2 linked regions of the Arabidopsis thaliana genome follow. The protein of the gene in region 1 interacts with the protein of each later gene in a biochemical or structural test. Each region holds a gene or a part of one and is shown in the gene's direction. Other genes may lie near its edges.

Evidence for each region. Proteins that work in one complex are often made in the same cells at the same time.
Region 2: the proteins of TSPO (region 1) and TIP2;3 form a complex in vitro, tested with the Arabidopsis thaliana proteins (one study listed by BioGRID).

Annotation. Positions count from the first base shown.
Region 1 is NC_003071.7:19,566,695-19,570,081, forward strand, and holds TSPO (TSPO(outer membrane tryptophan-rich sensory protein)-like protein), read left to right. Parts: upstream 1-1,769; 5' UTR 1,770-2,006; coding exon 2,007-2,597; 3' UTR 2,598-2,813; downstream 2,814-3,387. Other genes in the region: ALG3 (asparagine-linked glycosylation 3), read right to left, coding at 1-29, 219-272, 368-434, 503-660, 838-906, 1,013-1,150, 1,228-1,262, 1,362-1,527; AT2G47780 (Rubber elongation factor protein (REF)), read left to right, coding at 3,382-3,387. UniProt on the Arabidopsis thaliana protein: Stress-induced membrane protein that can bind heme and may play a role in the transport of tetrapyrrole intermediates during salt stress and contribute to the detoxification of highly reactive porphyrins in the cytoplasm.
Region 2 is NC_003076.8:19,247,606-19,251,292, reverse strand, and holds TIP2;3 (tonoplast intrinsic protein 2;3), read left to right. Parts: upstream 1-1,670; 5' UTR 1,671-1,826; coding exon 1,827-2,204; intron 2,205-2,409; coding exon 2,410-2,784; 3' UTR 2,785-3,044; downstream 3,045-3,687. Other genes in the region: AT5G47455 (uncharacterized protein), read right to left, coding at 97-215, 313-488. UniProt on the Arabidopsis thaliana protein: Transports methylammonium or ammonium in yeast cells, preferentially at high medium pH. May participate in vacuolar compartmentation and detoxification of ammonium.

The DNA of each region.
Region 1 (3,387 bases):
GTTATCAGAAACGGCAGTCCCACGAGTATCTGTATAACCATTCATTGACCAGCTGAATGGTACTTCTTGCATAATCAAAACTATAATTCGCTGGATAATGCAACTCACCTATTTACATTGAAGAAACTACAGTTAACAAGTTTCCAAATTGTCTTGGAGAAACAATGCTACGCATACAAATTGGTGAATAAGAAGGCTTATAAGAGATATAGTGAAACCTGAACAAGAGCTGCACCAGCCAAAGCAGACACCACTCCAATGATATTCATGGCCTGTGAATAGTAAAACTTCACATATGAAGAAAAACAATGCTAGAAGAATAATAAAGCAAATCCATAAACTAATTCTCTTCCACGAACATATATACCTTAAGTAGCAGAAGTAACAAAGTTGGAGCATACAAAAGTACATTCATCTTTACAGAAACAGCTCCACTGTATAAAAAGAAGGGTAAGCAGACTAGTCAATCTAAAGAATCGAGAAGCAAAAGCAGCAATCTAACCTGAAAACAAGCATCCCTAGATGCCATTTACGATAGAGAAAGAGAGCCATTGATGCATGTAGGAGAGTCATGGCAAAACAATCATTAAAGAGACGGAGAACAAAGATTGAATGTATCCTCTTGGATAAACATAGTAGACTTAATGCCCACCATGGCACCTGAAATACGTAAGGATACAAGAAGAGATATCATCACTGAATTCACTAAAATCACTCCCATCATAAACAGACAAATCAAAACCAAAATATTGTTCATTAACATCGTAAATGGACAACGCTTGACAACGTCTACAAATACTTGATGAAAAGAGATAAGAAATAAGTCTTCATTTATACCACATCAGTCTTCACGTAGATGATCAAGACGATCCCCAGATTGACAATGTAGAGAACACCAAAAAGAATCTGCAAAATGTAAGAGAGTAGAATTGAGACAAATGAAGCGATGGATGGATCAAATTCCGCAGCTAATCCAAAGATAGGAGATTCAAAGAGAGGGAATTGCAAGCACCTGAGCAGGGTAGACTTCCCCTCCAGTTAAGTTCTGCACTGCAGAGTAAACATAGAGGAAACCTGCTGGATAAACCAATGGCCCTGTATCGCCTTTCAAGTTCCCATAGTCTCTCTCTCCCCCGAGAAACCCACTAACCTGCCCCAATTAGATAAATTTCACTTAAAGACTACTAGTTTACTTTGAAGAAACCACAGTTGACCATTGACACTTACCTGTGACATGTAAGCATCCCAATCGATCTTCGTGTCTGTTAAAGGCAAATGACGAAATTTGGTTTAAAACCTATGCAAATGCACATTTCGAGGGATACGCAAGCAAAAAAAAAAAGGAGGTAAATAGCTCTCACATGGAACATAGGCGATAATAAGTGCGACTAGGATTGCATCAGCAAGAATTAGCGCGAATGCGAATGGAACTGCAGGTTTTTTGAATAGATCGGATCGATTCGTCTCCTTCCCCAGCCGACGGCTACGAGAAGCTCTCAAACTCGCCGGTGATGAGGCGCCCGCCATGAAAACAGAGCAAATCGCATCAGCGTCTAGCCAACGCCGCGTAACAGACAACTACTTCCATATTACTACTCTTCTAATTAGCCCAAATTAAATGAGCCTATTGGGCTTCTTGTCTTAGTCGGTGTAGAGCCCAATTGTTGTTTTATTTTTTAATAATGCAAAAGTATTAAGCGATAAATAAATAAGCATCGCAATCGTCCCAAAACTGTGTGTATGCATCAGACATGAGCATATAGAGTAAGCACGTGTCCACACTTTTTCACAAAGTTATCTAAAAACAAAAAACAATTAATTAGCATTCGACGTGTACATATCACTCGCCACGTGTACAAGAGCCTTGGCCTTTTTGCTTCTTCTTCTTGTCTATTAATATCATCTCCTGATTATACTCTCTTTTGACCAAGCTGCTTCTTCTCCATCTATCCAACATCTCAAATCTCAGTAATCTTGTTCCTTCGATTCTGTTTTGGACGTTTGTAATGGATTCTCAGGACATCAGATACCGCGGCGGAGACGACAGAGACGCTGCAACGACGGCTATGGCCGAGACAGAGAGGAAAAGCGCTGACGACAACAAAGGAAAACGCGATCAAAAGAGGGCGATGGCGAAACGTGGTCTCAAGTCTCTGACGGTAGCGGTTGCGGCTCCTGTGCTCGTGACGCTCTTCGCTACGTATTTCCTCGGCACAAGCGACGGATACGGGAATCGAGCTAAGTCCTCGTCGTGGATCCCACCTCTGTGGCTCCTACACACAACGTGTCTCGCTTCTAGTGGTCTGATGGGTTTGGCTGCGTGGCTTGTATGGGTTGACGGTGGCTTCCACAAGAAGCCCAATGCTCTGTATCTTTACTTAGCTCAGTTTTTGCTCTGTTTGGTTTGGGATCCGGTTACGTTCCGCGTCGGGTCGGGAGTAGCGGGGCTTGCGGTGTGGTTGGGTCAATCGGCTGCGTTATTCGGATGCTACAAGGCCTTTAATGAGATAAGTCCGGTCGCTGGTAATCTGGTAAAGCCGTGTTTGGCTTGGGCTGCCTTTGTAGCCGCTGTTAATGTAAAGCTTGCAGTCGCGTGAGATCTGTAAACGCTATACGATGATGTTTGTAGAGTCTGAGTCATATGAGTGTTTCTTGTTGTTTTTGTTTTTTGTGATATATACCATAAAAGATGTCTTTGCGATCCAATGGTCTGGTCATTGTGGAGTAATAGACATGAACATGATATACTTGAGAAATAATGTGATATTGTAGAAGTTTTAAGCGTTGGTCTGAAATCAAACTGTGAGATTCTTAAAAGGCGATCGTTTTACTTTTATGTCGCCGAAACGGAACAAATTCAAACGGTAAAGCCAACTATACTTTGATCAGTTTTGGGTTGGGCCGTTGACACTGTTTTGTGGGCTTCTCAGTCAGTGGTAAACCTAAAATTAATATAGGAACTCGAGGATTAGGGCCCAATCCATTTTAACACGTGATGATATCATGTAAGGTTTGGAGGGAATATACAAAAAGTGGATGAATGATAGCGAACGAGAGGTCCTTGTGCTTTTTTGATTTACCCTCGAGACTCGTGCCGACGGAGTGGCCGTGGCTTTCGTGCAACAGTCTCGACCCATACCTCGACACGTGTTGAAAACGGTCCATTAAGAGTAAGACATCTGTCAATAGGACAGCTGTCCTAGAGGTCACTCGTCTCTCACAATCCAATCCCTTTCGCTTAAATTAAAACTAAAATGGAGCATGGCAGCAACATGCCACGTGGCTCACCAGTTTCAAATCTGAGCCGTCCGGTGTGATATAAGTCTTTTTAAAGAGAGAGAGAGCGGTTCGTTTGTCTGCAACGGCACCAAGTCTTTGACAATGGCT
Region 2 (3,687 bases), on another chromosome or scaffold:
TATAAAGACTCAAAGAAGGAAAGCAAAATAAAGCGACTCACAAGAAAGAAAGCAGAAAAGAGAATTAGAGGTCGGGAGAGGTGCAGCAGAGAGTACCCTGAGTGAGAGCTCGGCTGCTTCTGGAAGTTGTGCTTAAGCATGACGTCAACCGCGCAGCCGCCACCGTGCTGTGTAGCGGTAACAGAGACTGAACACAACCAAGCTCCGACGGACACCTATAATGTAATCACACAAATTCATCAAAATGAGATCAAAGAAATGGCCAAAGTGAAGCAGATACATGGAATTAAACACTAAACATATGAAGCAGACCTGGAGAAGGAGAATCGGGGAAGAGGAGAAGCAGCTGGTTTAGACGGAATACGAAATCCGGCGGATGAAGCAGCAGCCGGAGAAGATCCAGTGCCAATGGGAGAATTTCGAAATGAAGATCTAATGGCGGATTTGAAAGACGAGACAGAGGATCTGCTCATGAATCTAGAAGCCATTGTAAGAGCTAGAAAATGAAGCCGGAAAAAGTGAGATCGATCTTCTTCTTCCACAGAGTTTTTATAGGGTTTTAGAACGGACGGAGGAAAGATGATGAGGAAGCCGGAAAATAAATATCTGGTTTTTCTTCTTTTTTGGGTTTAGCAATCTTTCAGATCATTATGGGCTTTAGGCCCATTAACGAAAAAGTTACGCCATCTAAACTCGCTTGATAACGAAGAATAACACCCACAAACCTTCACGAGGGACAAGAATGATAGGGTGGACGGGTCCGTGGGTGAAACTCACGACGGATGAAGCTTCCCGAGGGAATCCAGGAGCAGCCGCTGCTAGAGGAGCACTATAGGATGACCAAAGCAATTTTTTCAAATCTTTCTGCATGCATTATCATATTCTTGAAACCGAGATATTATTTTATTTTATTTTTGAATAAAGTAAAATCAAAATATTACATTTGAGCACGAAATCAATTTACTTAGAGCGAGAATTCGCAAACTGGTCATTATGACTTGCAAAAACGGACGTGAATTCAAGCATTACCTGATCATGTGTAAATGTTAGCAAGGTGTGAGCTGATAACAAAATAAGAAATTGGGATCGTATTACCTTTCCAGGATTATCAACTAAACGTAAGTAATTCTCTTGATTGATGTCTTTTGAGCTGGCTGAATGGTAATGCGGGGAGTGAAGGGTTACCGACCCTAGGCGGACAAAGTTTCTTATCAAATCAGTAGAAGACCTCGGAGTAGCATTTGGATTCAAACACTAGATCTATAAATGAAAAAAAAAAAAAAACTTGAATTACACTAAATCTATATTCGATATAATGTTAGTTTTGTGAAAAGTCATAATCTCATCTAGTTAAAAATTGGCTTTCCTTAAAATATTTCCAATCAACCAACTCCGCACAGGAAAAAAAAAAAGAAACAAAGAAATTGTATTTAACTTATAATCCCCACTAATACTTTAGCACCTTCCTACTTCTCTAATCCAATACGAAATTGAAAATAACAAAGACTAGTAAACATAATAAGGCCATTATCATTATTGGTGTGACACAAACATTAATTTAAAAATGCGGGATATCAAAATGCCAACAGAAGATTCTTATCCTTACATGTTATTAAATCCCACTATAGTTGTCACTACACATCTTTAATATTGCTAACCTTCCATTAATCAAATAAGAGGCGGTTTGGGCGGCATCCAATAATGATCTCCCACGTAATATCAACCCCACCTTTTGTCAATTGCTCTCTTCACTATATATATACAAAGAGCCCATACAAAGCCCAAATAACAGAAAATAGAAAGAAGTAACAAAACCAAAGCAAAAAATGGTGAAGATCGAAGTTGGAAGTGTGGGAGACTCATTCAGTGTATCATCTCTTAAAGCTTACTTGTCTGAGTTCATCGCAACTCTTCTCTTCGTATTCGCAGGCGTTGGCTCTGCTGTTGCGTTTGCCAAACTAACCTCTGATGGAGCCTTGGACCCAGCTGGTCTTGTAGCAATTGCAATTGCTCACGCGTTTGCTCTTTTCGTTGGAGTTTCCATTGCGGCTAACATTTCTGGTGGTCACCTTAACCCAGCCGTGACTCTTGGCCTTGCCATCGGCGGAAACATAACACTCATCACAGGTTTCTTCTATTGGATTGCTCAGTGTCTTGGCTCCATCGTCGCTTGTCTTCTCCTCGTCTTTGTTACTAATGGCAAGGTACGTACTAGTAAATTTAGTTAGAAAATTAAAAAATACATAGGTTTTGTACTTTTGTTAGGTTTGGTTTATATGTTCGTACCGTCATAGGTACGTTAGTATATTAATATATATATGATGACAAAAATATTATAACGTTTCAAAAACTAAACGGTTTAAGGGTATAAAATAATTGACTAATGAGTTGTTTCCCGGTTTGCTGCAGAGCGTACCGACCCACGGGGTCTCAGCCGGTCTAGGAGCGGTCGAAGGTGTCGTCATGGAGATCGTTGTGACCTTTGCATTGGTCTACACCGTTTACGCCACAGCAGCTGATCCAAAGAAAGGATCGCTAGGGACCATCGCTCCAATCGCCATCGGCTTCATAGTTGGTGCCAACATCCTCGCTGCTGGTCCATTCAGTGGTGGCTCCATGAATCCAGCAAGGTCGTTCGGACCAGCTGTTGTCAGTGGTGACTTGTCCCAAATCTGGATCTATTGGGTGGGACCACTTGTGGGTGGTGCACTCGCGGGACTTATCTACGGTGATGTGTTCATCGGTTCTTATGAAGCGGTAGAAACCCGTGAGATCCGAGTGTAATTGACTGGGTTTTGTGATTGCTTGATGGTTGGTTGATGTTTTGTTTGCGTGTGTATGTTTGGTGTCCACTTTCTTGCAAGATTGTATGTAGAGAAAAGAAAAAAAGTTATGTCCTGTTAATAAGAAAATGTATATACATTTCACTTCATCTCCTTTTTTTTAACGTATAGCATGTTTGGTTTCTTTCATATGTTTTTGTATTCTATGGCATTTTACTTTCATAAAGTTATCGACATAATTAAAACGTACTTAACGATCGGATTCAAACTACTTATCTTCTCTTAGATTTTTGTTGTTCTTGTGATTTGTGATTGTGAATGGTCCATTGAAATATCTAAATCCCAAATACAAATGGATTCCAGTTTCCACACCAATTTTACATCAAAGATGTGAAAATTTGCCGAATGATATGAGCAAGTCAAATTTTATTGATTTGAGATTCATGAGAAGTTACTAATAGACTATATAATTGATGAAATTGTATGGTTCGGTTAAGTATAAACCGGTATGAACCGGGTCTCTCTAGTATATAAAGAGAGTCTCAATGTAACAAACTTTCTTAAGATGAATAACAGAAACTTCTTCTTCTTCGTTCGATTCTTTGATTCTCTCTAGTTCTATTATGGTATCAGAGCGCTGGAATTCGAAGTTCTCAGCCGATTCAACACCTAACTCTCTTCACATCTTCGAGTTCTTGTTCATCTGAGCTCGTCGATCTTCTGTTTTTCGATTGTTTCTTCATAAATCAGTTAAATCAAGCTCAGATTTCGCGATGGTTTCCGTTGAAAAGTTACGGCGTCGCACGAGGAAATCAAGCAAGATCTCAGCTGAGAAGACTCCAGATCGTACTCAATCTTCACCGATTCCACCGGTTCCACCAATTTCGTCTCCGATTCAACAAAA